Linked DNA regions of Schizosaccharomyces pombe. The protein of the gene in region 3 binds, or shares a complex with, the protein of the main gene of each other region. Each region holds a gene or a part of one and is shown on either strand. Other genes may lie near its edges. The genes, in order: mrpl38, rml2, mrpl7 and mrpl17.

What was found.
Region 1: mrpl7 (region 3) and mrpl38 share a complex: the UniProt entries of both Schizosaccharomyces pombe proteins name them as parts of the mitochondrial large ribosomal subunit.
Region 2: mrpl7 (region 3) and rml2 share a complex: the UniProt entries of both Schizosaccharomyces pombe proteins name them as parts of the mitochondrial large ribosomal subunit.
Region 4: mrpl7 (region 3) and mrpl17 share a complex: the UniProt entries of both Schizosaccharomyces pombe proteins name them as parts of the mitochondrial large ribosomal subunit.

What each region holds. Positions count from the first base shown.
Region 1 is NC_003423.3:3,549,549-3,556,733, reverse strand, and holds mrpl38 (putative mitochondrial ribosomal protein subunit L38), read right to left. Parts: upstream 5,391-7,185; 5' UTR 5,387-5,390; coding exon 5,345-5,386; intron 5,302-5,344; coding exon 5,244-5,301; intron 5,181-5,243; coding exon 4,900-5,180; 3' UTR 4,843-4,899; downstream 1-4,842. Other genes in the region: leucine-rich repeat protein Sog2, read left to right, coding at 1,252-3,912; SPOM_SPBC887.08 (uncharacterized protein), read right to left, coding at 4,184-4,432, 4,491-4,616; sorting nexin Snx3, read left to right, coding at 6,099-6,182, 6,232-6,297, 6,353-6,549, 6,630-6,714; RNA-binding protein Cwf29, read left to right, coding at 6,853-6,857, 6,948-7,185. UniProt on the Schizosaccharomyces pombe protein: Component of the mitochondrial ribosome (mitoribosome), a dedicated translation machinery responsible for the synthesis of mitochondrial genome-encoded proteins, including at least some of the essential transmembrane subunits of the mitochondrial respiratory chain.
Region 2 is NC_003421.2:694,328-702,324, reverse strand, and holds rml2 (mitochondrial 54S ribosomal protein uL2m), read right to left. Parts: upstream 6,414-7,997; 5' UTR 6,404-6,413; coding exon 6,242-6,403; exon of another isoform or gene 6,218-6,241; intron 6,169-6,217; coding exon 5,242-6,168; 3' UTR 4,843-5,241; downstream 1-4,842. Other genes in the region: TATA-binding protein-associated factor TAF6, read left to right, coding at 644-775, 934-2,160; protein mug123, read right to left, coding at 2,580-3,287; RNA cap binding protein cbc3, read left to right, coding at 3,926-4,145, 4,198-4,450, 4,573-4,720; transcription factor TFIIIC subunit Sfc4, read left to right, coding at 7,480-7,997. UniProt on the Schizosaccharomyces pombe protein: Component of the mitochondrial ribosome (mitoribosome), a dedicated translation machinery responsible for the synthesis of mitochondrial genome-encoded proteins, including at least some of the essential transmembrane subunits of the mitochondrial respiratory chain.
Region 3 is NC_003423.3:1,734,770-1,743,067, reverse strand, and holds mrpl7 (mitochondrial 54S ribosomal protein uL5m), read right to left. Parts: upstream 4,427-8,298; 5' UTR 4,091-4,426; coding exon 3,227-4,090; 3' UTR 2,971-3,226; downstream 1-2,970. Other genes in the region: MAP kinase kinase kinase Byr2, read left to right, coding at 772-2,751; ebs1 (EST1 family protein), read right to left, coding at 6,039-8,298. UniProt on the Schizosaccharomyces pombe protein: Component of the mitochondrial ribosome (mitoribosome), a dedicated translation machinery responsible for the synthesis of mitochondrial genome-encoded proteins, including at least some of the essential transmembrane subunits of the mitochondrial respiratory chain.
Region 4 is NC_003421.2:2,121,371-2,129,629, reverse strand, and holds mrpl17 (mitochondrial 54S ribosomal protein mL46), read left to right. Parts: upstream 1-3,884; 5' UTR 3,885-3,969; coding exon 3,970-4,087; exon of another isoform or gene 4,088-4,181; coding exon 4,182-4,615; intron 4,616-4,763; coding exon 4,764-4,862; intron 4,863-4,929; coding exon 4,930-5,085; 3' UTR 5,086-5,497; downstream 5,498-8,259. Other genes in the region: ubiquitin-protein ligase E3 Asr1, read left to right, coding at 181-1,896; twf1 (twinfilin), read right to left, coding at 2,348-2,479, 2,522-2,640, 2,681-2,816, 2,872-3,000, 3,109-3,476, 3,540-3,617, 3,656-3,680; SAGA complex deubiquitinating submodule subunit Sgf73, read left to right, coding at 5,774-6,356, 6,428-6,879; pus1 (tRNA/U2 snRNA pseudouridine synthase Lsp1), read right to left, coding at 7,257-7,428, 7,468-7,823, 7,889-8,259. UniProt on the Schizosaccharomyces pombe protein: Component of the mitochondrial ribosome (mitoribosome), a dedicated translation machinery responsible for the synthesis of mitochondrial genome-encoded proteins, including at least some of the essential transmembrane subunits of the mitochondrial respiratory chain.

The DNA.
Region 1 (7,185 bases), 1.8 Mb from region 3:
AACGTTATACCCATACTTAGTTGGCTACCATTAATGGTCCTATTACTACTTGTCAGGTTTGGATATTTAATGACTCAGATTAAATGATTTAATCAACACAAACCAATATTTTTGAAATTCAAAAATAATGAGGCTTCAATTTCTCAATGAGAAACCAAAAAAAATTATTTTAGATAGTAACCCATTTAGTCATAGAAAAAAAAACCGTGTTTGATTATATGTACAATTTATCAACTCATTTATTTTTATCAGGTTCTTAAATCATAATGATAAACCTAGGCGATTCTATTAGGAAGCAATATATTAAGGACTAATAAAATAAACAATAAATATTAATGATTAGGAAATCAAACGCACCAAGATAATCAAATTGATAAACAAACTATAGATAAATGACAGAAATATTGAATCAACAAAATTGCAACTCATTCAAAAAGTTATCAATTTACACTTAAAGAATTATTTACCACAAAACATACTGTAGCGTTAGCATTTGTTGCTCCTGTTAATAACGACTTCTGATCTCGATGAACTCAAAAAGTTCGAACCAACATAATATAGCGAGTGCTTTTGATCATTCAAGAATTAGAAATGAATGCTAACAATACTACATTACAATTACGAATTACTATATGTCACATGTTCTGATTACCTATCGTCTTACAAATGATAACAATACGATGTAGATCCACTAATAAATTTTTTAATTTATTAGCTAGAAATGATAGATGTAAAATCAAAGGAACAACGTTCTTTAGTTCAGCTGTGGTGGTTTGTTTAGAGATAAATTACATTACCGCCTTCATACAAGGATATCCGTAACCCCCGTTATCATACAACCATATGTACCGCTATGTAGTGCACATACGAAAATCAAGTAGTCTAACATATCATTAATGATAATTACGAACTGCATAGCTAAAAAAAATAAAACGCAATATCAAACTTAACGAAAATATTTTGTGTAAACGTTAATAAACTGTAATTATTTTAAGGAAAAGTGCTTATTCACGTTGTTAAAATAAAAAAGTACAACCTACAGATGCGTACACAGAAAGAAGTGAGTTTATTCGTTCCGCGAACTAGCTTGGCAGTAAATTTTGGGGAATTGACTTTTGTACATTATAGCATACCATTGTGGATCAATTTTATGTTCATTGCATTTTTTTAGTAATTATTACTTCTTAGAGTTCCTTTTTTTTTCAACAAAACCTTCGGATTTACGTCTGAGGTGATCGATCTTTTCATGCTATGTCTGCTCATGAGGTGTCCTCCACAAAAAACTCAGAAATTGAAAGAATTATTAAAGAGGCAGAAGATGCGGGTCCTGAAAATGCACTTACGTTAGATCTATCTCATCTAAACTTGCGGGAATTACCTTATGAACAATTGGAAAGAATCCAGGGTCGGATAGCGAGACTAGCGCTAGGCCATAACTTTATAAAGAGTATTGGTCCTGAAATCCTAAAGTTTACTCGTCTCCGGTACCTAAATATTAGATCGAATGTCCTTAGAGAGTTTCCCGAATCTTTGTGTCGACTTGAGTCACTTGAAATTTTAGACATTTCTCGCAATAAAATCAAGCAACTGCCAGAATCCTTTGGAGCTTTAATGAACCTTAAAGTTCTTTCAATTTCTAAAAATCGTCTTTTTGAGCTTCCCACCTACATTGCACATATGCCGAATCTTGAAATTCTTAAAATTGAAAACAATCACATTGTGTTTCCTCCTCCGCATATCGCTAATAATGACTTGCAAGATTCTGATATGCAGTTGTTTATTGCCAATATAAAGGGATATTTGTCGCGAAACGAATCAGTCTTTAGAACGCGAAGTGAAAGTACTGTTTCCGCTGCTTTATCCGCTTCAGCTAATCTTAGTCACTCGGAAGAAAATGACTCCTCTGTGGTTGATTCTTACTTATTTAGTGCCCCATCAGATACTAGCCATGCGGTTTCACCTGGCATGCTGACGTTTGTCACGCCAAGTCCCCATTCACATTCTCCTGCCGGGCATCAACAGTCCACACCCAAATCGACTTTGTCAAAGACAAATGAGAACTCAGAAGGAACATTGTATGATTCAAATGTTGCTCATGGATGCACTCATCCTCCATCACTTAATCAATTAAACAAATTTCATCTAGATGCGTCGCCTAGACAAGCCCGTCCTCGTAGGTCAGTTTCTTTAGCTACTGGCCTCAATTCTCCTTCTGTTTCAAAACCACCTTCTTCTGCTACAGGACCATTGTACCATTCACCCCAAAGCTCACTCACCAATTCCTCCGTCGCTAGTGCAGACGTTCAAGAACGTACTCACAATACTAACGGCGCTAGCCCCATTCAAGACCAAATTTCAGAATTCACTGATCAACATCAAAATCCCTCAAATAATGATGCTGCTTCCACACAATCGATTCTAAAAACAGCTCCAACGCAGTTGAGTGCGAGTGCTAAAACATCAGCCATAAGTTTACCTGAGGTTGCCAAGAAAGAGCGTAATAGAAGCAATAGTACAAATGATGATTACTCTTCTACTAGACTTCCATCGAGTGTTTTACATCGTCTTGAAGCCCTTAAAGAAGCGCGCAAACTTTCTGAGCAATTACCAAATCGAATTTTTGCTCAAGATCCTCATCCTTCCCCTCGTTTGAAAAAAGAAGAAACGCATGAAAATGGCTCCAATTTGACAAATGACTCGGTCAACAGCTACTTCAGTAACATTGGAGGGAGTGAGGTTGAAATGAAGCACTCGGCCTTTGAAAAAACTTTAGAGTCGTCTAGGGGCATATTGTTTTCGCTTTCGCAAGTCCAACAAGCCCTTCGTCAGCAACTTCTTTTTTGCAGCAACCCCGTTGTTTTAGATTCTATGCGTCATGTGTTACATACTGCCAATGTTCAAATTAAGCGGCTAATTCTGTGCTTTGAGGATACCCAACAAAGCAATGATGGAACTGCAAACATTAATTCCATAGTAAACGCTTCATTGTCTTGTATCAGCTCGTTTCGTAAACTAATTGAAGTGACAAAAAAATTTTTAAATGAGCTCACTAGTCGTGCGGATGTCCGATATGTTCGGCTTTTACTGCTAATTCTTTTCGATGCTGCAAAGGAGTTACAAAACGCCTTGGTACCATTGAGTCCATCACAACCCCATAGTGGTAATAACATATTCGCCGATCAGGTACGTCAATCTCCGACAAGTATGATCCGGACTGCATCTGGGCTTACGAACAGAATCGTTAGCGTTGAAAAACCAGCATCAGTGATGAATCCTGAAATTGATAAACAAATACAAGATCAGGTCGCTTTAGCAACAAACAGTGCAATGTCAGTTTTGACATTACTAATTGATGCTGTTCCTAAAAATAACCAGCCTGATCTAGTAAATGAAAACATCGCACCCAATTTGATTAGTAAGTTACGTGAATTGGGATCATTATCCGCCGCCGCCTGTGATGTTACTAGAAAACTTAAGCATCGCCTTCTAACTTTTCAAACGAATCCGGAAGAATTGGAATGGCAGCTTTTTTTGGACGACACTCAAGCATTTGTCAAGTCTATTATTGCAGTCGCAAATTTAGCGAAAGCGTTATCCAGTGAATATACATTCCAAAAAAGCGTATTAGCTGGTCTTTCAGCTGCAACAAGATCTACAAAAGATCTTACTATCTTACTTTCTTCCTCTGCTCGACATTACACTGAGTCATCTTTAGCCACTCCTGTTCCTTTGATGTCCCCAATAGCCCGCGTACCTGCAACACCGTTGTCAGCGGCTCTGGGTTCGGCTGCTCAATCTATTACATCTCCTCTAATCATGTCACCAGCTGCAATTCCGGCGTCAGCCTATAGTACTAATAAAATCGATTACTTTACTGACGCGGATGGGAACGTGGAAGGTTTACAGCGCTAAAGAATTTTTTAATGAAGATTGATGAGGAATAATTGGTAACTCGATAACTCAAAAGCCTACAAAGACTATAAATTTAATGATACAAAAAATGATGCACGATTGAATTTGATTAATTTATTTCTTATTCAAATAACAAAACCAAGGACAAATTGTAAAGGATGATGGTACAAGTAGTGATTAATCTGTTTCCACATGAAAATCATGTACAAAAATTAGACAGAGTGTGTAGTTTTGGGTAGGTACTCTTTGACAAGACAAAAATTTTTTCTAATTAATTGCTTTGCTTATTTTCAAGTTTCATTTCGCATCTTCTGATGATGTCTTCAATTTCATTGATTTCGCCTGAACTCAGTCTGTGGTACTCAATGCTGGAACTATCAGTTGGAACATCAAGTGCTTGAAATGCAAACTTTTTAGCTAAGGAATAGTTTCCCAGATAATATTGTTCTTCCGCTGCAAATTTTGATTGCTCTAAAATATAGGCTTCTTCACCGAGGACGACGCCATTTTTACTAAGATGCTGAATAATCTGTTAAAATCATAGACAATAAATTGGGAGTAAAAAATGAGTAACATACACCAAAACATTGAACTCTTGGAGTCCATCCATCAGTTTCAATGCTTACTTTCTGTTTTAATCGCTTATTCCGTTCAAGCTTTGACTCACTAACATCAAAATCCAAATCAATCGCCAGCAAATCCATTCTTACTAGAACATTAAATTCTTTTGATCGATCAGATATATTTAACAGATAATGGACTATATAATAAAGCCTGCTACAGCTGTATTTTACTAAAAAAGTGTGTAGTAAAAACCTTTTAACCCCACAATGCTTACGAGTAACAAAACTCCAAAAAAGCAAAATCTTAATTGGCTATCAGGTAAAAAGTGTTTGCTGAAGAGACAAGGTCCCTTAATTAGACGTAGAATAGAAAATTAAAAAATATATTTTAATTAAGTGAAATATTAACATTACAATACCCTTTTCAGATGGTTCGTGGAGCAAGAGATGCTATTTTAGTATGATGTTTTGTTCTGAGCTCGTTGGCAACGACTGACAAGATACGGGTTCCCAGAGGCTCACACTCCTTATTAACCAAGACGCAGGCATTATCATCAAAACGAACATAACGACCATCGGGTCTTCGAACTGGTGATTTCGTCCGAACAATGATAGCATGGTGGATATCACCGCGTTTAACTTTATTAGCAGCAGTAACTGATGAACCGCTTCGTGCCTTTTTTACCACTACTACCACTTCATCACCTGTTTTTTAAAAAAAGGTGATGTTAGTCGAATATAAACAAAAGATCACTTCGTGCTACTTACCAAGTGAAGCGAATTTTCCCGCGCGAACTACACGAATGCACTCAGCTAAGGTAGCACCCTTTTCCATCTTATTAGTACAAATAGTAATATTTTAAACTTACGGAATTGTCGATAACTTTGAGTATACCTTTAAGTCCGATCATTGCTAAAGATTCAAGTACTTGACCATACATTCACGTACTCGCTTCCACTATAAATTACACTATGCGTAATATTAGAATTTGGTATTTGACGTTAGTTGGCATATCGTAGTATGTAACACATCGCAAAATATATAAATAAAAACAACTGTTTGTATTAAAAAAAAAGCGATTTGATTAGATGCATTCAAATATGAAATTATTCCAAGCAAATTGTTTGTCATAACCTGTTATCTTGCTTTAACCTTCTGATGTTTTGCTTGTTACACATGTTTTAATCAAATTCTTCATCATGCATGGAGTTGTGGAATAGTCATTAAAGCAAAAATGTGATATTGACTAGCAATTGCTCTTATCATATTAAAATATCATAATGGATTGTATGCTACATATTTGATTTTGTATTACTCGTTAATTTTGTTGAAAGTGAGAGGAGGATTTGGACGTTAGTGAATCCATTTTATTTTTTGGAAGCAAATGAACTATCATTCTCATCTTTAGACGACGCAGTTTGAAAAAATGCTCTGCGATATGTTTACAGTAAACGCCTTACTAATTTGCGATCCGATTATGAATCTCATTAGCCGTACCCGTATCTGAGCTAGACACTACACCTTGTATCGAAACTTTTAAACTTCTTCAAAATTTCAACTATTACTTGTTAAACAGTAAAATAATATTGGATATCGCTCTTAAGAGTAATAAGGGTAAATAAATGGATAAATTAAGTAGACCGGAAATCAGGCAGCAAACTACTCAACAAATGTATGATGTTCCTGAAAACATCCTTGAAATTGATGTATGTTTACTTTATTATTTCGAAATATTTCTAATAGATGTTATTTTAGGTTATAAATCCACAAACTCACGGTATTGGAAGAAACATGTTTACTACTTATGAAATTGTTTGTCGGGTAGGTACCACTGAAATTCATCTTCTGATAGCAGATTATTAACTCATTTTTGTAGACCAATATGCCCTATTTTCGTCTACATAATTCTAGCGTTCGTCGACGTTACAGCGAATTCGAGAAATTTCACGATATGCTTGAAAGAGAGTCCGGTCGTGTTTCAATTCCACCACTTCCAGGAAAGATATTCACTCAAAGATTTAGAGATGATGTTATCGAAGAACGTAGACAAGGTTTGGAAAATTTTTTACGACTGTAAGTATTGAATGTTAATTTTGCCTTATTGCCCCAAAGAGCGTTTTAAATTGCACAAAAACTAATACATTATTATGTAGAGTTGCTGGACATCCTCTTATTCAAACCCATTCTCGTGTTTTATCTTCTTTTTTACAAAGCCCGGAATTCAAGCCTACGCCATAAACCCGCCGCTAACTTGTTTTTCTCCATTTTGCCCTCCAACTGTTAATTTTTGTCAATCTTTTTTTTTATTTTAAAAGAAAAATTTGGAAATCAATCTGTTACAAAGTTTAATTACCATTTAAAATACCTTAGGTTGTTATGAAGTAAGTTTTCTATTGAGGCTAAAATATAGCAAAAATCCGATTCATCTTTTCGCTGTTTTCGTTTTTTAATTTTAAAATTAACAAAAGTAGCTCCATTCGTCAAATTGAGCGTTTAAACGAGCAAGAGTTGGATAAACCTTTTAGCAGTTCTTGGCACCAAGATTATAGTGATAGTGCATATATTTACATCGGCAACTTAGATTTTGATTTGAACGAAGATGATATTTTATGTGTGTTTTCTGAGTTTGGCGAGCCAGTGGATATTAATTTAGTGCGCGACAAAGAAACCGGAAAATCGAAAGGCTTCGCCTTTCTAAAATATGAGGAT
Region 2 (7,997 bases), on a different chromosome or scaffold from region 3:
TGAGAATGATGCTCTGTTCAATCTAGACTTCTAATTTTAACTACTATTTTATATCAATATCAATGGATGTTTTAGTAAACAAACATATAGTCTTCTGCTATTGTTCAACAAATTGAGATTAATTGGTATTCCATGTAGTGTATTTTGATGCGTAACGTAATGTTTAATAGCGATTTTAGTGTAGCTCACTGTCTTGTAAGCTACGCAGTTTGGTATCTGATTTAAGGATACGTAGAACTGCGGTGAGTTTTCCTTGTGATCTATTATATTACAATACACAGGTTGTATAAGTAGCAACTGAGTATAGGTATTGTATTAACTGGGTTATAATGTTACCTATCACTAATATAGCTCATAACTGAACTGAGGAACGAGGTTCAGCAGTAGCTCTATTTATAGTATTCAGATAATATAGATCTTAATAGATTATCATTAAGATCAATCTCCATATCGTATCATACATGGTACGATATATAATTAGAACATGTGACATATAGTGATACGCAACGTAGTGTATTATAGCGTAGTGTAGTATTGCTGACAAGTATGTTAAATAAAGCAGTTGCTTCTAACATCGTTAACTACTTCTCTGCAGATGCAATTCACTCATTGATCCATAAATCGTTCATCTTACTACCAAGTCATGTCCTTGACAGTATGGAATATTGAATCCATCAAAGATGTTGCTGAAATGCTTGGGATTGGCAATCTTGCCGATGAACCAGCAGCAGCTATTGCAATGGATCTCGAATATAGAATTCATCAGGTGGTTCAGGTAGGTTTCGTGAAAGTAGACTATGAGATTTTACTTTCTTTGGAAGAGGCTAAAATAACTAAAAAATTGTTGCTAGTTTTTTACGATGCCTTTCAATTTGCTAGATAGTCTGCTTTATTCTGACATTAAACATAATTCTCTAACAGTATTTGATTTAGGAAGCCACTAAGTTTATGGTTCATTCTAAAAGAACTGTTTTAACTAGCGCAGATATCTCTTCAGCGTTACGGACGTTGAATGTTGAGCCGTTATACGGCTTCAATAATTCTCGTCCATTAGAATTTCATGAAGCCGCTGTAGGTGCAGGCCAAAATTCCCTTTACTACCTTGATGATGAGGAAGTGGATTTTGAAAAAATCATAAACGCTCCTCTCCCTAAAGTCCCTAGAAACATTTCTTACAGTGCACACTGGCTGGCCATCGAAGGTGTGCAGCCAGCCATTCCTCAAAATCCAACTCCCTCAGATCACACAGTTGGAGAATGGGCATCCAAGGGTACTTCAGGGGTTATGCCAGGTGCTTCAACTGCTGCTAAAGAAGCTCGAAACGGTGTCACTTCGATGGACAACGTTGAGATAAAACCGTTGGTGCGACATGTGCTATCCAAAGAGTTACAGCTTTATTTTGAGCGTATTACCAGTGCATTGCTTGATGAAACTAATGTTGAGCTCCGTGATGCTGCCCTATCGAGTTTACGTGACGACCCCGGATTACACCAACTTTTACCATACTTCATAATGTTTTTATCGGATTCTGTAACTCGAAACTTAGGAAATCTTGTGGTTCTTACTACTTTAATGCACATGGCCTGGGCCCTTCTTGATAACCCCAACCTTTTTGTAGAGCCTTACGTCCAACAACTCATGCCATCCATCCTTACTTGTTTGGTCGCGAAGCGCCTTGGCAGTGATCCTAATAATCACGAGCATTATGCACTAAGAGACTTAGCTGCTTTTTTACTCGGGATTGTTTGTGATCGATTTGGTAATGTGTATTATACATTAAAGCCTCGCGTTACTCGCACGGCACTCAAAGCATTTTTGGATAACACCAAGCCATATTCCACTCATTATGGTGCCATCAAAGGCTTAAAAACTATGGGGAAAGAAGCTATTAGAGTCCTCGTCGTTCCCAATATCAAAGTTTACGAAGTCCTAGTTCGGAAAACCTTGGAAAAAGGAAATGAAGAGGAGATTTACGAGGCCAATAAATGTATGGATGCTTTGTACGACGCTTTGCTATTACTGCGGGATGATCAATTACCAAATCAACGAACTCTTCCGCCAAATGCTAGTGGTCTTCTTGAGAAGAACGTTGGCAGTTTAATGGCTGAAAAGATAATGAAGGAAAACGATACCTCATTGCTTCTTGGTCTGCTAGAATAGTCTTCGTTGGGCATAAAATATTTGTTTTTGAACAATTTAATCTATGAATCTCGGACTTTAAAATATTTACCCAATTTTCCACACTACCTAAACCATTATAGGTTCTATAATTAAAATGTTATTGATATTCATGTTACATTAAAACAGGAAGCACCGAATAGCTTTCAAATGAATAAAAATAGAATGATGATAATATTGATATAGTTTATTTCATGTTTTGATTAAAGATGTGAGACTAGCTGACAATGCCGGGTTTTAAATGAAAGAAATACGTAATAGAACAGAAAGGGGAAGGAATGCTTGATTATGCCAAAGAATGCGAATAAAAGTAAACGAATTAAAGCAATTAAACTAGGTGAGGGAATAGCACCATAATAAATAATAATACTTTATCAGATATCGATGGAAAAATAACTGCACTAATCGCTATCGAATTCATCATTGTCCCCCATATTTGTGATTACTAGACGTTTCATTCCTTCTTCAGCACTGTCCTCGTCTGAAGATTCAGAACTGCTGCTTCGTCGATTGACAAGATAAGATTGAATATCATGAGTAGGTGATCCGCTACGAGATTCAAAGCCGTCTGATTGAGTAGTTTCGGCTCTGGAGTCTGCTCTTGAATGTATTGACATTCCCATAATGGAAGGTGCAGTCCCACTATGGGTTGAGCTGGCACGTGAAGACTCAATCATTGAGATATATGTTGGTGCAGTATTCGATGTCGAAATTACCAATTCGTCCTCATCGTCATCCTTACCTTCGGTAGCAGATAATCGTGGAGTAAGAATGGTGTGCTGAGGAGCCATTGTACGTGAATGAAGCGAAGCAGGACGGGTGTGATAAACACCATGATGCTGGCTAGAAAATACCCTTGAGCGCATGCCTCCTAAGCCTTTGCTGGAAGACTTCCCATTTTGTGATGAACTTTTGATTGATGGGCTAGAGTGTAAAGGAGCCACACGGCCTATATCACTCCAGACAGTCGCCTTTGCACGGCGTAAACTCTGTACGTAAGAAAAAGTAGAACCATTTGACTCATGGTTGCTATTAATGGCATTCGAAGTTGGAAGGGAAGACCTCGAATATGGATCATCATGGCTCGATCGAGTAGCTAAACGTTCCATGCGATTAGTCTTCTGTCTAGTAATGATTATTATCTATTTATTCCTTCTTTGAATAAGTTGCTTGTAGAGTAATTCCAATTAATTTTTAAAAATTTCACAGACAAATGCCGGGATTAGAAAACGAATGGTGTTAAGATAGACAATCTTTTATTTGATTAAGCAATCAGCTAAAACTAATTAAACAAAGCTCATATATCTTTGAAAAGCGCAAGAATTAATGTTTCGTACTGAAAATTGCAAATGTGCGGAAGCTATGTTTACATGTCTCATTCTCGAACATACGGTGTCCCAGAGGTAAATCTTATTAGGTTTTACTGTAATATCCCATAAATTTCTGTAAATAACAATACGCAATTCAATGTGCTTTAGCGTACTGTAGATTCTTACACAAACGAGCCTTACATGCAAAAAGCCGATTTAATCTCCATTTTCCTTCTTAATTTTAAATACAAATTACATTTGACTTCCGATCTTCACTCATTATAGGAGACTGTACCGATTACATTGCCTATAGGGATCTTTCATCTCTCGTTATTCTCGTATAGCAAATTATAGCGCGTCGTAATTTTCTTTGGACGGCACATTCACTCTTTTGGAAACTGCATGTCTGCGAAGCAGTTGTAGAGAAGTAGATTTAAATGGATATCGTTGCAGAGACTCAGATTGAAGAAGAATCATTGATACCCGACGCCACTAGTACTCCATTAGAAACGGAAGTGGTGGCTGATACTACATTGCGTAAAACAGCTTTACATCTAGCTGGCGTCGATAATCTTTCAGAAGAACAAGTCAAAGGATTTATTTCAGCTTATGCTCCTGAATCTCAATGTACAATTGAATGGATTAATGATAACGAATGTAAGAAGCGAAAACTGGCAAAGGGTTAGTCTAACTCTATAACCGCGTATAGGCAACGTTGTTTATGCGGATGATGATGTTTCACGAAATGCTTTATTTCATTTAATTATGGAGTCTCCGACAGAATTTTCAGAGGAATTGGAATATCAAACGAAACCACACCCAACTGTACCGACGTGTCAATTCAAAATACGTTACGCCCGCTACGGAGACAAGAAGGTTAAAAGCGCACATCTTTACTCGAGATATTATCTGTTTCACGGTGATCCTCGAGAAGAAAAGGCTCAGAAGAGCAAATCTAAAAGGTATAACTTGTGAAAACCAAATTAGTCCGGGTGCACTCATACTTTTCAAAAATCATTTCCTCTACTTTTGAGAATCTCCTTTTACTCAATTTTATATTCAAATTACTAACACTTTCGCACAGTAGAAATCAAGATGAAAGGGGTTCGCCATTAGATGAACGACTAGGTCCTAAAGTGTCTGACCTTACACTGATGGAAAGAATATTCCAAGTTCGACGCAAGCCACGCAAATCAAGGAGAGACCGTCGTTCCAGGGTTTCCAAGCGTTAATTGTGTTGTAGAGAAATATTAAATACCCAGTTTATCCGCTTTTAAGTCGCTTTTCGCTGGACGAAGGCAAGAAAAAATTAATATGCTAAATTAGCTACAATTTTATAAATAAAATTTTTTTATTTAGTTGGCCATATTAAAATAAAACCGTTCTTTTCTGCGTTTAATAGAATACTCTTTTGGTACCTGAATGATATCGATAACCCTTTTAAGGTAGATGTAAGCAAACGACAATTTTGAATGGGATAGTCCTTAGCTTTAAGCAACGTTGTGATGAACAAAAATTACCAATACAGATTTAAATTGTAAGAGCTAAACTCTTAAAAAATGCTTAAAATTTTTCGTCGATAAATGACGGTCGACACAAAATAACTATACATAAATGCATCTGGTCCACAAATGGATAGGTAATAGCATCGACTATTAAAATGGAGAAGGGATCATGAAAATTGAAATGCATTACGGTAATGTAAAACATAGAAATGTAAAAGTCATGAAGACAGAGATCATTAATAAAATGATTACCGCTTTTCCTTTCCACGAGGACGATCGCGGACGAGTAATTTATTAACATTTTTACCTCTTCTTGTTTTGTATCCACCTTTAGCCAAAACACCCCAAGGAGATTGAGAAGGTTTATTACCAATGCTTTTACCACCACCACCACCATGTGGATGGTCACATGGATTCATAGCTGTACCTCGAACCGTAGGACGAATGCCAAGCCAACGTGAACGACCGGCTTTACCAAGCTGGCGATGTTGCCAATAAATATTGCTTACAACACCAATGGTAGCAAATGATGTATCCAAAATCTTTCTCTCTTCACCACTTTGTAGACGAACGATAGCATATTTACCATCAAAAGCTATGATACGAGCGCTACTGCCAGCAGAACGACATAGCTTTGCCTTTTGATTTGGATTTACACCAATGGCATGAATGACAGTTCCTATAGGAATTAATCTGAGAGGAAAACAATTTCCTGGCTTCAAATTTTTTGCTGCAAAAGTTCCATCTTCAATTTCAGCAGCTAGGACGGGGTCCATTTCTACTGGCTCGCCATTAGAACCAGTCTTCAAAAGCGATCGAAAGCTCTCAACTGTATCGCCTTCGCGAAGCCCGTCACAAGCCAAAATATAACTTTTGTTGGCTGTTTCGGAATTCAATTTTTCAACAAGGGCAATGTGACCACTTCTACCAGGGTCATACTCAATTCTAATCACTCGATGAACACCCGGTACTTTTCTTTCAAAGTCAACAAGACGAATACGTTGTTTGTGTCCACCACCCTGATGCCTTACAGTAATTCTTCCTGTTTCATTTCTTCCACCTTTTTTTCTTTTTGCAACGGTCAAAGGTCGAAAAGGTTTCCCTTTCCAAAGGTAATCACTAACTGGTCTTTTTAAATGACGAAGACCAGGAGATATAGGTTTGTAAGTTTTAATCTTGATAAGAATTAGTAAAAAATGAATTAAGGCTTGATAAATAAAAAGTAACCCTCGTGTTAATATTACATACCTCGAACTTCGTTTTTGGTCGTAGAAGCATCCCTACATCGTAGGGTCTCTCGGAAGATTCAATTTTTTCACCGCTTGTAGATGCGGTAGAGGCATATCTGAACAGCTTTAACGCATGAATTTGAGGAATCAAATACCCCCGAAATCGATTATAACTCAACATGGGGATTTCCAACTAAACCTATGGTAAGAACTCACAATATGATGGACTGCGAATTAACGAGTTCAATCATAATTTGCGACGCTCAGTGCTAAAATCTTTACACAATCCAAGGTGTCGTTAACTGTGTAAATAAATGAACATTGATCTAGGGAATACAACATAGAGGAAATTGAACACATTAGCTATAATAATGAAGAACTTTGTTTTATTGTTTGATCATCTGTGTAGTAAATATTTTATACATTGTAAACCCGATTCTATACGTTTGAAAGTAATGGCAGGTCAACTGAGAATTTCAACCACGTTATAATATATTGGAAATTTTGATAAATTGAATTTGCTTTTCCTTCGAGTTGAGCAAAGTTAAACTAGAATTTACGACACCTGTAATAAGCCTGCTGAGCATGAAGAGTTTAAGGGATTCAAGGTATCAGGAAAACATTGCTTTCTCACAAAACTCTTCTCACATTCCTTTTTGGATGTGTGCTTAATTAATTACTAAATAAGTTCACATACCAAAAAAATCTTATTTAATATACAGTTTCAACGAAAAGTTTCAACTATGGAAATTTGTTTTGTTAACTCGTTCATTTTCGTTTCAAAACAATTCGAAGATGGGGTTGATCTGCGTTTGTTTAATATAGCTTATTAGTTTGCTTATGAAAGGTTTCGATACTATACTCTGTGTACACTGACAAAGGTCAATCAACATGAAAAGCCTTGAGATGCCATTTTCCAAAAAAAAAAGTGAAAAACACTATTTGATTGACTAGGATCTTCCAAATTCTTACAGATATTAGGTATTTTGACAACATCAAAATTGTCAAGTTTGCAATTCAAAAATGTTGCAAGTAAAATAACTGGTGTCAGGAAAAAAGGACTAATATTTATTGACTTCATATTAATTAGTCAATTGTAGAACAAGATATGTGGTACCCATGACCTCTTTGTTTATTGAGTACTTCTATAATGACTTACTTCAACTTTGCCTTCACCAACGCCAACGCGAAAACAGCCAACTTCAAGTAGGCAAAAGGAACAGACCGATTTGAAAGCATGATTGAGCATCTTAAAGGATGATTCAAAATGGTGGAAATAGCTATGTGGATTCCAATATGAATGAAACGCAAAATGATACAACTGACAACTTTGATGCTGAAATGCAAGATCTAAACGGGTATATAAGCGAAATTGTCGATGAGGCTAGGAATGTATCTGAAGTTGATGCAAAATTTTTGGGAGATACCTCTGCCCTTCAAGCTGAGGGCCTTTGGTCAGACGAAGAGTCAGATTATGAAGGCAGTGACGATGAATCAAACTTTAGTAAAACAGCCTCAAGAACCGAGGACGACATTGCGAACGAGGAATGGGAAGAAAATTTAAAGGCAGTTGCTGGATTTAGAAAAGTCCGTAAAGGTCATAAAGGTCGAGGACGTGTTAGTCGAGCTGATATGCTTCCCTCGGTGGAAGTGCAACAAATGTTGAGTTTAGCGAATCATTTGTTTGCGCAAGAAGGAAACTTCGACGAAGCCCAAAAATTAGCTGAAGAGATTGTTCGTATTGATAATAATGTCATTGCGGCTTGGAAAATGCT
Region 3 (8,298 bases):
CACTTCCATTCCCGTTTTTTTTGCTTCCGACGTTTATTATTATTTGTAAATTATTGTTATGGTTGAATTGCCGACCGTATCTCGAAATTTGTTTTGGTAAACATTGCTTGGTTTTATGTTCGAACCATTGTCACATCAAACAATTTAAATTGAAGTCCCACACATATATTTTTGGCACTTATAATTTTGATTTTTTTGAAAGATCTGTACGATCCGTCGTGATTGTGTTACAAACCAAAAATCGCTTTCAGAATGCGCATTTGCGGGTTGCTAATTTTAGTGCGCGATTCTTGCCGTCCTCTGAAACCGATTGAAACATTGAAATTGTTAAAACAGTACTTTACGTTCGTACCTTAAACCAGTAGTATCTGAACGGTGGTTAACGACATTTGTATTGCAGATAAAGAGAAAGATTATTATTCACTTGCTACACATGGTTTATACGAAAGTTTTAGATTTTAATATCTGATTACAATTTCTCGTCGATATTTAGACTCCTTGTGGAACTCGTATATGTACGTAAGTGTTATTTAATAGATATCTGAATCTGTGCCGGGTGAGAATTGCAATACCTATATAAACAAGCAGCCTTTACGAATTTTTTGGCAGCTTCATTTTGGTAATGAGATTTAGTGAAACTAATATCGGTTATAAAGTGTATAGTTATATTGTTACGTCAAAGAGCACGAGACTAAGGGAGGCAGGTTAAACGTAAATGCTACCAACTTTGAACTTAGAAGTTATACGTTGTACAACCACTTTCCTGCATTTATGGAATATTATACCTCGAAGGAGGTAGCAGAATGGTTGAAAAGTATCGGATTGGAGAAGTATATCGAACAATTTTCACAAAATAACATTGAAGGACGACACCTAAATCATTTAACCTTGCCTTTACTGAAAGACCTAGGCATTGAAAACACCGCCAAAGGCAAACAATTTTTAAAACAAAGAGACTATTTACGAGAGTTTCCACGTCCATGTATACTGAGGTTTATTGCCTGTAACGGGCAAACTCGAGCAGTTCAATCACGAGGAGATTACCAGAAAACACTCGCTATTGCTTTGAAAAAGTTTAGCCTTGAAGATGCTTCAAAATTCATTGTATGCGTTTCACAGAGTAGTCGAATTAAGCTGATTACTGAAGAAGAATTTAAACAAATTTGTTTTAATTCATCTTCACCGGAACGCGACAGGTTAATTATTGTGCCAAAAGAAAAGCCTTGTCCATCGTTTGAAGACCTCCGCCGTTCTTGGGAGATTGAATTGGCTCAACCGGCAGCATTATCATCACAGTCCTCCCTTTCTCCTAAACTTTCCTCTGTTCTTCCCACGAGCACTCAGAAACGAAGTGTCCGCTCAAATAATGCGAAACCATTTGAATCCTACCAGCGACCTCCTAGCGAGCTTATTAATTCTAGAATTTCCGATTTTTTCCCCGATCATCAACCAAAGCTACTGGAAAAAACAATATCAAACTCTCTTCGTAGAAACCTTAGCATACGTACGTCTCAAGGGCACAATCTTGGTAATTTTGGTCAAGAAATTTTGCCAAGAAGCTCTCGGCGGGCTCGCCCTTCCGAATTGGTTTGTCCTCTTTCCTCTCTGAGGATTTCTGTTGCTGAAGATGTTAACCGACTTCCTAGGATTGATAGGGGATTTGATCCTCCACTTACTGTATCTTCTACTCAGCGTATTTCTAGACCACCATCGCTTCAAAAATCCATAACCATGGTTGGTGTGGAACCTTTATACCAGTCCAACGGAAATGAAAAATCGTCGAAGTATAATGTTTTTTCAGAAAGCGCGCATGGCAACCATCAAGTACTTTCCTTTTCACCTGGTTCATCCCCATCATTTATTGAGCAACCATCCCCAATTTCTCCAACTTCCACTACAAGTGAGGACACAAATACACTTGAAGAGGACACTGATGATCAGTCTATCAAATGGATACGTGGTGCGTTAATAGGTTCAGGATCGTTTGGACAAGTTTATCTCGGTATGAATGCATCTAGTGGTGAGTTGATGGCTGTTAAGCAAGTGATCTTAGATTCTGTTTCTGAATCAAAAGACCGCCATGCCAAACTTTTAGATGCATTAGCGGGTGAAATTGCTCTTCTACAGGAGTTGTCTCATGAGCATATTGTCCAATATCTCGGTTCTAACTTAAATTCGGACCACTTGAACATTTTTTTGGAATATGTTCCTGGGGGGTCGGTTGCCGGATTGCTTACAATGTATGGAAGCTTTGAGGAAACGCTAGTCAAGAACTTTATTAAGCAAACCCTTAAAGGCTTAGAATACCTTCATTCACGCGGCATTGTACACCGTGATATAAAAGGTGCGAACATCTTGGTTGATAATAAAGGGAAGATTAAAATTTCGGACTTTGGGATATCGAAGAAACTTGAACTAAATAGTACCTCTACGAAGACGGGTGGTGCTCGCCCTTCTTTTCAAGGCTCTTCTTTTTGGATGGCTCCCGAAGTGGTGAAGCAAACTATGCATACGGAGAAAACAGATATTTGGTCTTTGGGATGTTTGGTAATCGAGATGCTCACTAGTAAGCACCCTTATCCGAATTGTGATCAAATGCAGGCCATTTTCAGAATTGGGGAGAACATTCTGCCGGAATTCCCTTCTAACATTTCTTCATCGGCCATAGATTTCCTTGAGAAAACGTTTGCCATAGATTGTAATCTTAGACCTACAGCATCAGAGTTGTTGAGCCACCCGTTCGTTTCATAAGCCGGCTAAGTTATGATGAAAACAGAAACATTATTTTACGATCTATCTTTTTTATGTTTTTTTGCATCATTATCATTGCATTTATGCCATTTAGAACTAATGAATTTATTTAACCTATAAACCGTATGATTTAAGTTGCTATATTTTTCTACAATATTCATGTTTTTAATGATTTTGTGAATGTCCTTGATAAATACCATTATGAGTTTAGTTACTAAAAAAATACTATTTTACATGTTCAGTTTGTTTAAAAAATATCCATTGATTATTCCTTTTCAAGAAAAAACTTTTTATTTTTATTTACTTTGTGAAAACGATAACATAAATATATAATAACACATATCTACGGGAATTCTATCACTTAAACAAGTAAAACTCAAAAACGTATGTATGCATTAGTCGTAGAGAAGGGGATTTTTTGTTCACTCCTTGAGGAGAAAAGATTAGGTATAGTAGATATAAAATAAATTGTCTACTATCCAACATAGCCTTCCTTATTTCCATCTGTAAATGGAATAAGACTGCTGACGAAAAAACGAGCCAAACGGGTATCTTTGGAATTGGTTGTTATATTTACGTTAAATCCAGGTAAAGAGTGCGGATACATCTCATAAACAGCTTCAATTTGGGGAAATAAAGGCATGACTTCACTTGGTAAACCAAAAGATATGTTTCCTGTTTGATCTCCGCTTGTAGGACTCAGGCCCTTGAAATCATGAAGCTGAGGAAGAACCAACTCAGATAAGATTGAAAGAAATGTATACATAGATTCTCCAGTTAGAGTAACCTTTACACCTACTGGCACACCTGAACGAAGTTTCCAGGGAGAAACGTCCTTACGTGCATAGACTATTTCGGGCTGCAAACCCGTTATAGAACGAAATGCCATCATTGTACTCAAGAGCTGCGTTTTGTCAACGAGTGCTTCTTTATGCATAGTGCTGACGACAACTTTGCTAATAGAAGGAAGGTTTTTAGGATTAACGGACTCCTTTACTGGTAACAGAGGCTTATTACCACGCATTTTCTGAGGAGGCCGGTTTTTATAATAAGGGTTATCACCAATCCACCTTGGAAGTCTGTCTTTCTGTGTATGTTCATCTGTGCTTAACGCTGTATCTATGTCATGTCGATATGAAGCAGCTAATACATCCGGTAAAATGGTATCATGCAAGTGTTCTTGTAAGCGATTTAACATGGTGGGTCCTGGACGAAAATACTCAGAATTTGGATCCCATCCTGGTAGGGGCCTATTCTTGCCCAGTTTTTGCTTTACAGTGATGGTTCTTCGCTGCAGAAAGTTAACTGATATTCTGATATTTTTTCTTATCCCAAGCATTGTTAAAAATTAAAAAATGAATTAAAACAAGTATAATGACAAAGAGAAACCAAAAGCGACAAAAATACAACAGGTTACTTTCTAGGGAATTTTCGTGAAAATCCTTTTGCTTTATAAGCAGATGAGCACTTGTGTTATAATTTACCAATAAATTATAGTAAATAACACAAATCCGGGAAAAAATATTTATAATCACGAAACAAGGAAATTGTAAAGACCAATGTCCACAAATGATACCTGTTTCTCAAATCTTCAAAGGAAGGTTTTAACAAATGGTTATGGATAAAACAGGTAAGTCTCGCAACCAAAACAATTTTGCAATGGATCTTAGGTACTAGGGCTGGAAGATTGCTCGCGTTTGTCTAGTGTATTGTCATGGTTAGTGTACCGTATTACCTAGTGCCAAGTAAGGAAATCCGAGGCATCGTTATAATCATATGCCACACGATTTTGAGTGCCAAGTGTAATAGAAAGTATTGTACTTGTAACTTACAAACTTATTTAAACAAGTTAGCTTTAAAGCTTTAAGCTGATGTCTTTCTGTTTTTTTTTATACGTCGAAAAACAAATGTTTTTCCTTCAGCTGGTACATAAAAAAGCAGCTAATTGCTCTTCTTTTACAAGATGATTTTATTTTTGTATTTCTCAAAATCGTGCCAAATGGCATGCCACACATATTCAAATTATTGGAAAGTATTATTACTAACTGGCTCTACAAACTATTTGGATAGGATAGTGATGCATGTCATAAGATCACTTTCATGCAATAACAATACTAATCCAATTCGTTCTTTTGTATTCACTTTGTTCTTGTTCGTTTTTTACCTTCTTTCCTTTCAATATAGATGTGTGATGATGAATGAGAGATGCAAGAAGCTTAGCTCAAACACAATCCTGAAAGAGTAAAGTACTCAACATAAAATAATGCATTTATACATTTCGTACCTTTATCAATCTATTATGCAACAATAAAAGCATTTTATCCAAAAGAAAACAAGTTGTCTTAATACTTGAAAAGATCAATAGATTTACTTTTAGTTTGGTTTTCTAAAAAGAGAATCACACTTGATAAGAAATTGATTGCCTCGAATAACTCAAAACTAAATTATCTTAAACAACAGATACCGCCAGTGTATACTCAAAAATCATAGATATATGTTTCGAATTCGTAACACTTTAATGAAAAACCAAGCATTTCATAGGAAAGACAAATTTACACTTTAGTTTTGTGTCCAGGCATTACGATAACGTCTGGTAAAGACATAAAAAGAGGTATAAGATCTGGCACTTGAGAATCGCCAGTCATTACAATTTGGATACAGAACAAGCTCTAGAAACTCAAGATAGTGCAGTAAATGTTTATAAAGAGCATTTCTGCTTAGAATCACAAAACAAATTGCACTGAGTAACCAAATATTGAATATTCACTGTCCAAGCTCATATGCTTATTATCAATCAATTGGCAAGCTGAGGATATCCAACAAGTCAGATAACTTCATAATTCGAGGCTAAAGATTCTATTTAAAGAATTCAACGCAGTCCTATGTAAACAATTAACCCATTCTATGATATATATTGTAACATTGGGAAGCGCCTTAATTGCTTGTGTTTAGGTCAAACCAGAACAGCGCTATGATAACTAAACAACGTTTTATTTTCCCATCGACCATATTTTAATTTAAGTGTCGTGAATACCCGTACACTTTAGGCCATTTGATGACTATTCATACTTATATAAAAGTCAAAGCCTTTCTTTAGGCAAGTGAAGAACCATTTCTAATTCGTAAGCACAGTGTATAAACAAAGAAATCCGTGATACATTATTTTGGGTTATTTCACTTCGTGAGAAATAAAGCAAGAAATTTGTTCGTTGTTGGCAGCAAAGTTAATTGACTGCTTCTAACAAACTTCAGAATTTTTAATGAAACATTACAATCAACAATACAGTTTAATTATTGCTGATGTTAACCATTTTCTTTAATAGCTCAGACAAAACCAAATGTTCCGGAGGTTCCGTAGCAGGCGTAGAAAATGTGTTTAAAGCAGGGCTTCTCAATGGGCGGAATAAAACACGTTCACCTTGTAAATGTCCGTTTTGCGGAGATCCGTTCAAGTGTGTCTCACAAGAACTGAGATTCCCAGACACTAAAGGATAAGAACTAGTACTTTCACTAAATGGTGTGCTAGTCCTACTAAAACCAGAATCGACAGCTCTAGGACTCTCATTTGAAAACGTGCGTTGTTGTAATGAATGAACAGAGCACCCGGTAGTTTGAGCAGGTATAGGTTGAACAGGTCCAACGAGGCTATCCACCATCCTCCCAAATTGCAGACTTGCAATACTAGATGACTGATTAGCTATGGATGGTGTTCCAGATAAAAAAGGAGATGTAGGAGAAGATTGAGCAGATGGAAAAGAAGATGAGGACATTAGTGAATAATTCGATAATCCCATTCCAGTAAAAGCCTGTCCGCTAAATGGAGATCTGTGGGGTGTTGGAGGCGAAGAAAAAGATGTGCTATTTGGTGTACTTTTCGCTCGCATATTCAGTAACACATACAAAGAATCTAACGCAATTGTTATCAGTGCGTCAGAATCATCAACTTGGGGACCTTTACCTTCCTCATTAAAAGGATAATGATTTGAAAAGTAAAGCCACTGTAAAGTATCACGAGGAACTCCACAAACCTTAACAAGAGGGAAAAAGAATAGCAGGCCGATACTTTTAGAAGAACAGCGTACAAGAACAGAGTCGTCGGGAGCTGTTTGATTTGTGTTCTCCAAAAAGAAGCTTAAACGATTGAATATCTGTGAAAGTCCAGTTCGAATATCTTTAGTAAGCCAGACGTCCCCATTTTGCAAACACGAAGAAGTCAAAACACACAAAGGTAGAAGCATTGGCATAAGTACAGCATTTGAAGACAGAGATCCATATTGACGACGTTCGACTAGATCATCAAAATTACCGTCCTTCTTACTCGACACACCAGAGGTAAGAGCTTGTAAAGGAAGCTGGCTATTCACTGAATCAGAAAGGACTTCAAAAAACATAGTTGTAGTTTGTGTAGCAAGCTTTAAATTCGGATACGACTCACCGTGTTCTCCAGAATCACTAAAGCCAATAAATGGAGCTAAAACCCTTGCAGCCAATGCACAATATGTCATCTGTAATAAAGAGGATTCTGAAAACAAGCCGCTTTTAAGTGACTCAGAAAGAAGAAATCGAACTCGTTTGAATAAAGGACCAGAGTCTTGTATGTAGTCGGCATCAGTATTACTAAAAGCAATTGCATACAGACGCAAAAACAGGGAAATGGCAGAGGATTCCTTATGATATAAACAGGGATTCGAACCATCATTAGTTTTGCCGAAGCAACGCTTCAAAGCAATAAATAAACTAGTCTTAGCCGATGAGGCCGCAACATTGTTAGGGGATATGGATGACAAAAAGAAAAAAGAAATAGCAGGTAAAGCTTGAATGAGACGTTTATCCTCTACATTAACGTTACCCTTCAGGGAACTGCTCTGGCCAGAGGACGACTTTCTGGATGAAGATCGAGCATCGGCAACTTCGATTAGCCCAAGTTGGTGAAAATGAACACCATAATCGGGTGCTACGTTAGCAGCCATAACATAGTATCTACGGGAAACTTGATAATCAGGTACGTTTGGAGAACGAACCTCAGCCAAGTAACGGTGGACATCGCCAATGTAAATCAAAGACCTATACACACAAAGAACCAAATACTGTGGTTTATGATCAGTTAATGCAGGTTCGTAAGTGAGTGAATTAGAAGAAGAGTCTTTCTTTAATGGAGAAGAAGAGGATGATGGAGAGCCTGAAAGTAATCTTTTCACAGAGTCAACTTCCAAACAAGAATCTTCAAATATGGAGGAAAAAAGAGCAGCAAGCCTTGATTGCGAATTGGTACTTGTTTTCCAATTATGAGAACCTTGCTTTCGCAGAGGGGACTCTAAAATCGTTTTAGGAGTTACACAAGATGTAAAGAAAGAAGTTAATGGACTGAGACATTGTAAATGATATAATTCACCAATTATAGCAATCAAAGTAGTGTAAAACTGTATGGTTGAGTTCAAATACTGAATATGCATAGTAACAAGTGAGCTTAAAAGCTCCGGGTCATGTTGGGTAGATGCTTCATAGATACGATGCTTAAAAAAGGAGATAACTTGGTAATGCACCCGC
Region 4 (8,259 bases), on a different chromosome or scaffold from region 3:
TTTACAAATCTCTCTCGTTTGCGTAACTTCAAAATAACGTTAGTAAACTCGTTAAACAAAATGTTGAACCCCTTAAAGAGCCAGTTTTCCTTCTCTCCTTCTACCATCACCTTCGTTGTATAACTACTGCTTTACGCCCCCACCACCAAATGCCCCGTTGTGGTTCCGGCCCCCACATTAATGAACGCTGAAGAAGATCCAAAGCCGGCAGATTCTGATAGCTCTGAAGAGTGTATCATCTGTCTTAGTAATTTACCAAATTGTCCCTTAGATCAATGGGATTCCAGTAGTGTTCCCGCTTCGATTTCGTCGACCTTGGATGGTCTTCGAATTGCGAAAATTCCTTGTGGACATTATTTTCACAACCACTGCTTGGAATCATGGTGCAGAGTTGCAAATACATGTCCTCTATGTAGAACGGAGTTTCTTAAAGTTGACGTACTTGAATTCGTGAAGGGACCCTGGTATCGTGCATACCCTGTGGAGGAGAAAACCCAAAGCGTTGCCAATGCTGGCGAGCCGTTTGAAGACGAAGGTTCCGAAACCTGTCGCTGTGTCATATGTGGCCGCTCTGATCATGCTGAGGTGCTTTTGTTGTGCGATGGGTGTGATGATGCATATCATACATATTGCTTAAACATGGATGCAGTACCTATAGAAGAGTTCTATTGCCCTAATTGTGTATTGTTAAACTATCAAGAAAATGAAACACTCTCTTCACGTATTTCTCTTTCTCGAAGAGGCCAGACAAGACGCAGAAGGGTAGGAGCAGCTGCTCGTGCCTCGCGAGTTTCTCAACAACAGCAGCGTGCATGGACACGTGCTTGGAATGCCATTAGAAATCGAGCTTGGGATGCATTGAATTCAGATCTCTCATATTATGGTATGCAACAAGAACGACTGCCTGCTCGTGACGTCTCGTCTGAACTTTTGCGACGTCGTATTGAGAGTGCACGTCTACGTTCCAACCAGCTCAATGAGCCAGTTGAGCAGCCACGAGTAGTGCAGACACCAGTAACGAATGCTTCTGAGCAGCAAGCATGGAATGATTTTGATGAAATTCTACATGCGAATTCATCGGTCCACTCCGTTGCCACTGAGGCTACCATTAGTAACCCACGACCTTCGTCGGGTCGATTTCAGCAAACGCCTATAGAAGAACATCATCAACAAGATACTCGATTTGTGAATGACCCAAATTCCACGAGTCACGACAGGAGGCAAAAGCGACCTACTCGTCGGCACATTCCTTGTTCTAATAAATCCTCAGGATCTTCTACAGTATTAGGCAATAATTCATCATCTAAATCAGAGAATTCTTTTCTCGCTAGTTTAATTAGCAACATCAACCAGCCAAGCACCTCACGAATAGATACTTCCTTTATGTTAAGTTTACAACATGAGATTAAGAATTCTCACTCTGAAGCTTCGGATGGAACTTCAGACGTTCACTTGACTCCTCTTTTCTCAAATCTCTCTCCTCGACCATCTCACGTACCGCTATCACCTAGGGAAATCAGTAATGATAATTTGGATGACCATTTGATTGAACTTTCGGAACCAGGAGAAATTGTGGATAATCATTTAGTTAATGATACGAGTATGCATCAACGACGCACTTCGGGCCGACATGATTTGGTGCATTCCAGCAAAAAAGTCTCTTATGAAACGAAGTATCGAATAGAACGGCTAGTTAACGCAGCTCTGAAGCCTTATTATCGAGAAGCAAAAATATCTAAAGATCAATTTGCTCTATTCAATAAGAATATCTGTCGATCTGTATACACTGCGTTATCGGATGGTACTCTGTCGCTTGAAGGACCTCAGCAACATAAAATAAGCAAGACAATACGGGAAAAGGTTGTTAACTGTATACAGTCTCTTTCAAATGACTGATTATGAGTTATGTATTTATGATAGGAGTTATGGTTTGGTGCATATGCTTTTAATATTATATCATATCTAATCTTTTGGAAATCAGAAAGTAACTTTTGAGGTCAATTACAATTTCCAAAAGAGTATTTATTTTGTTAATGAAGGATAGTGTTTCTTTAATGTTTGAACAATATATGTTTGCAAGATTAACACTCGTCAAGAATGGAGTCTTTAAGGATTTCGCTTTTAGAAAAGAGGAAACAATGTATAGATCTAGTGATTGTCTTATTCTATTTATTGAAGTATAACATTTTGCATTGCAAAGTGAGACCGTTAATATAGCATGCAACGTGTGCTCAATATAGGCGTTGGTAGTATATTTTGTTTTAATTCGAATTTGAAATGTCATGAAAAAGATTGATAAACTAAAAAGTCTGTAAATTTGAAACCGCAAAAAATTGTATATACTTGCTTAACGTCTTCTAGGGGGTCGAGGTCTCGAAAAACCAGTTTTGGTGGTGCTTGTTTCTGCTTGAGGACTTGATATCCCAGCAGCATGAAGAATTTCCTTTTCAGTTATATCAGCGGCATCATTCGATTCAATCTGTCATGTGAGCATAAAATCTACTACGAGGGATAAACATACCTTGCCATCAATAACAATACCCAATTCTGCTTTAATACTATCCAAAAGACCAAGTTTGGAAGAAGAATAAACCATTCGATGTTTGACAGTTGCTTGCATTGGACAAATGTATATAAACACTAGACCTTGTTAATAAAATGATCCTGCATCTGTACTTACAAATTTTTGAAGAGCCGTCTTTTGGCAGGGAATAGAAAGCGAAATTAGGTTCGGTGGAAGAAAAGAAGGATTTCACATCAGAAGGAGGTATATTTTGCTTTTCTTGACTTAAACTTATGACTTCTTTGTCAATAGACTTTTAAAGGAGGTTAGCAACACCATACATAGCAAAAGTATCATAGCTTCCTTACCAAAATAACAAGATTGTTTTCTGTAGATGATTTTAAATCAGAAAGAGCCTTTAAGGCTTTATCATCAATCGACATAGCAACACCACGGGTCACCAAAGGACGCTTATGAGTTACTGAGGATTGCATAGACTACATAGTTGTTAAAATAGATGCAAATAAAAGAGTAGAAGCTATAAATTCTACGAGCCACGGTAAAGAAGTATGAAAAATCCATCCACCCCAATACAGTTTACCTACCTCATTGTACTCTTTCCTTTCGAGTTCATCTTGTCGTAAAGGACTTTGGTCCTCTTGCTTGCTTAAGCTCTTCATAATTTGCTGATAATCTAACTCTTCCGGAGTACTTGCGAAATAAGACTCGTCGAGTTTAGCAAGAGTTACGCATCTTACAAATGCAGCACGACTAGAGGCATATAACATCTTCCTGCGAACATTCGCATTTTCAGGGACATAGGAAATTAATTGTAATAGATTTTTCTTGCTATCATCATAAACGAGGACAAATGCAGGTTCTTCAGATCCGAGCAAACATTCACGGACTTTCTTAAAATCAGATTCTATCGATTCTGATTTTTCAACCATTGTTTTCACGTCAAATGAATTCTCTAAATCATTTAGTAACTTCAACTAACTTAAAATTTACTCTTCTAGCCCGAATGGAAACTTACCATTAGAAATGCTAATAATGGCGGCGCGAACCGGTACCGAAGAGTACTCCTCGAGAAATTTACTGAACTTCTCTGTAGCTATCCACACGTTAGAAGAATTTAGCCAAATTTCTTACGTTTTAATTCGACGGAAGCAGACATTGTTATGGGGATTGAAAGGTTTACTGCGTCAGCAATTCCCCATTCTAAGTGAGTTAAATTGAATTATAACGAAATCCAAAGAAATCTATTAAAACATATTAACGATAGCAACAGAGTCTCTAAGAAATATTACAGTACTTAACGAAGCGTGTAATGTACGCTGGTAAAACAGGTGGTAGTGCTAGCCATAGCGAAACGTCGATTGCCTTTACCAAGTGGTCTTTACCGGATTAGTAAACAAAGCCGAAATTTGGAGATTTACTTGGCGTAAATTGACTAAGTTTAAACAATGTACTTGAAGAGAAATATTATAAATATGCAGAGGTCTTTTTCGCGTCAATTTCACATTTCTGTACGAAATTCCATTCAATCCTCTAAACCCTTGTCTAACTCGACTCCTCTAAAAGGTACAGAATTAAAAAATGAAAATGAATTATCTAGGGATATTAAATATAAATAAAAAAATTACCTTTGATGTACATGATTGCTAACATATCTTAGGTTGTTCAGTGGGTACAATTTTAATTAGATCGCCAATTCTTACTCGCCAACCATCCGAATTCGAAAAATCTATATATAAATATAATGCGGAACTTTGGAATGAGCTGAGTGATCCTTTACCTGCAGAATTTTATTTCAAGAAGGGATCGGTGGGTGAAAAAGATTGGCAAGAACGACAAAAAACACTAAAAGGTAAAGAATCACCCTTTGAGACGATATTTGGAAAGGAAAGGAAAGAGATGGAGTCTAACAAATTATTGGATTCTGCAACTCACTTGCAATCCAGAGTCACAGAAGCTGATACGAAAAACGATGAGCGAAGCACTCTTCGCTCGCTTGACAAGTCCCTTTACTTGTTGGTAAAAAAATCTAAAAGCTCGGGTTGGCAATTTCCTAACACTCCTGTTACAAGCTCCGAGAAGGCGCTGCATCTGGTAAGTACATTTTTTAAAATTCGATTCCAAGATACACAATATAGTGCAAGAGACTACTTACTATTGATTTGATGCTAAATAATTTATCAAATACTCTTGCAATTTTTGTTTACATAGTCTGCAGATTGGCCTTTCTAACAAACTGTAGTTATGTCAAGATCTTTTAAAAAATATATTAGACGAAAATTCGTTGACTTGGCTAGTTGCACGTCATCCATTAGCATTACTAAAAACGGAACAAGAAAAGGTAAGACTACGGATTTTTTGTTCTCATTTTATCTGGGTTGATTTTTTGTTTAACCAGTTATTTCTAGACCTTCTTGTTACGTGCTCGTTTATTAAATGGATTAGATGTACCTAACCTGCAAAACGTTTATGACTGGGTTTGGTGTACGTACGATGAACTGAAAAACAAACTTTCTCCTTCTTCATGGGATTCTGTAAAAAACATACTTTCCGATCGTTTGTAATCTTCAATTGAGCAAACAATATGTAAAATCTACGGAAAATAAACAGCGGAACATTTCATCTTGGAAATTCAATCTTTCTACAATCTTACTGCATTTTTCAGCTTAATTTTCACGTTTTCTATTTTTTTCTCTCCTTAATTTTTGATGTTTTGGTACGATGTAAAAAAAAACAAATAATTTTGGAATTTCACTAAGTATTTCTCCTTATTTATTCTATCTTTTTATTTGCAAATGATTCTGCCAGTATTTTATTTTCAGCCGCCTACTTTTGGAGTCCGGATTTCATGATTACTCACCCTCATGATCTGTGGATTCTTGGCAGTGTACGAGAAAACGGGAAAAGCGCGCACCTTAATAATAAACTATGTTTAGCTCAAGGGACCTAAAAAAATAGAATTGTTAATCAAAATTGATATCCGTAGTTTGTCCTCAATTCCAAGATCAAAAATTCTTTTGTCAGTCATAGTCTAGCCCTTAAAGACAATGTCTGTATAATTTAGTAATTATCAGAAATGATATGTGTCAGCATAATCCTTTGAAAGTTCATTAGAATGCAATTATAGACTTTGCTTTCTGGAAGCATTAAACCGTACATACACTTGACTTACAGATTTAGTCCCACTACAAAGGAATTGACAAAGGGCAACTTTGTAGAATTCTGTTTATAAACTCGGTTCTTATCAATAAAATGTTAACAGAACAACAGACTTTGGAGTTATTTCCAGAAAATTGGGAAAGAAATGAGCAAGTTTTGTTGAAATACCCGGATGGGTTACCCAAAGATGTACTCGCTGATCAAAGAGTTGATAATACAGAATCACAGGTAAAGGATGAAATAACTTCTAACATTACGAATCAAACTCAAATTTTACTACCTGCTGATTCCTTTCCTCAGTATGGGTCATATCCTAACAATTCAGAACTCGATTATGTTGTATGCACAAAATGCGACCGACCCTTCCTATCAGAGTATATTGAGGACCATCATAGCTCATGCAATGGAATTAAACCTCCTAAGCCTCAATTTGAGCCTGTTGCGAATTCTCAGGTTTTAAACAAAGATGTCAACAATGGCAATAATGCACCCATCAAAAATGGTGTTAAATCGACAGCTAAGGGCTCAGCTGGGAATCATGAAAAGAATTCAGTTAATGGTCAAAAGAATCCTGAAATGCCTCCAAAACGTCGGAAGACAGAAGAAAACAAAAAGCCTACAAAATCCGCCCTTCCCAAGAAAGAGGCTAGCAAGAAGAAGAATCCAAAGGTCAAAGGTATGTTGGTTTATGCTGTTCAATATGGAGAATGGAGTACCTGTTTACTTTAATACTAACATTCAATTAAGGTCCTGTGGATGTTGAAAAGCAATGCGGTGTTTTGCTTCCTAATGGGCAAATGTGCGCCAGATCTCTCACATGTAAAACGCATTCAATGTCAAGCAAACGAGCCGTTCCGGGAAGATCTCAGCCATACGATGTTTTGCTTGCAGCTTGTCAAAAGAAAAACCAAGTAAAAATACAACGACAAATCCTCGAAACTGCAAAAGAATCCGAAGATAATCAGCATCAAGCGCCTGTTGATTCTGATGAAGAAGTCAGTTTCATTATGAATGTTCTCCAGAAATCTGGCAATCAGCCTTTGGAGCAAAAAGTTTTTTTACCCGTAAAACGTCGCCATTCGTATTTTCGTACTAGAGAGTTAATAGCTGCTGCATTTCGACATGGTGAGCAGGGTATGCAAGTTACTGGTACTATATTGGGACGAGTGATTCCTTTTAGTGCCCGCCAACCACTATAAAGAAATTCTTTTGATTTTGCTTCGGTTGATGATTTAAATTCTTTATGAGATTATAGTTTACATTTTGGTCTACTTGACCACGCATTTTCGACTTTTTAATTTTCTCCTCCGTTCATCTAGTTTCTATTTCATTAATTTTTTCATTTTTTATTTTGTATATTGCACCATACGGTCTTAACATTTGGAATAATCAAGTAGAAGTTAATAAACTATAAAAATACCAATAGAACCCAAAACCAATAATCAATTCTAAAAAAAAGAAAGAAACAAGTATTCTCCAAAAATATATGTACACGTTTGTAGTCTAATTTTTTAAAAGAAACAGCAAAGTTTATGGTATCAGTTTGTTGCAAATCCTCAGTCTCACAATCAATCCTTTAGCCCTCTAAATCATCCTTGTTTTCAGCCGAATCTTCTTCTTCATCGCTAGAAAGAACATCAGGCAATTTTGAGGAAACCTCTTGCGTCTTTTCAGTAATGCCTATATCTGATAAATAACTGAAATCTTCTTCATTATAACTGTCAATAAAAGACAAAAAACAATGAAATCTAAACCGGTTAGTTAATTTAAGAAAAAAATATACTTACACTTGTTTACGAGCTTCTTCGAGAAAAATTTTATCATAAATATGAGCATGCTTAAAAGCAGTAATTTTTTGCTCGTACTTTGTAAAGTCGATAGGATCACGATTATTCTCTGGAGCTTTATGTTCATTATAACCTTTAAAAAACGGTGACTCTAATAAAAGTCCAAAACCAGGTCCCTTGGGTATGTTAATTTTTGTTTTTTTAAAGGCATCTTGTATGCGCTCAACAGGACAACCCGTTCGTACAACTAAAATAGCAAGCGCAATCATCTTTCTAATTTGGTGCAACATAAAAGATTGACCATGAACTTTACATGAAATCCATTCTGTATCGCCAATCATGAATGGATCAGATGCCTAGAATGTTAGAAACAAGACTTGTCAAGAATACTATAAATACAAAGAAGATAATTCTTACTTACAGTAAAAGAACGGATCACGCGATTACTATTCTTCTGATGAAATGCTTGCCCCACAGTAAAATTGTGAAAGTTATGAACTCCAACATATTGGTTTAAAGTTTCTCGAATAACGGACAGCCTATCTGCGGAAATACGGTAATTTTTTAATTTAAGTACTTCAATGTGCTTAAGTGCACGTTCGAGACGATAACTGGGATCAATCTTGGAACCAGCAGATTCGTCTTCAACAGAGTCAGGCTTTAAAAACTCGTTTACAATAGCAGAGGAATCGGAATCCATATCTGGATTAGTTTTAGCGGAAACTCCTGCTTCAGAGCCCTTATTATTTTCCGAATTAGCAAGAGCAGCAGCTCCCCTTTTAGAATATGGAT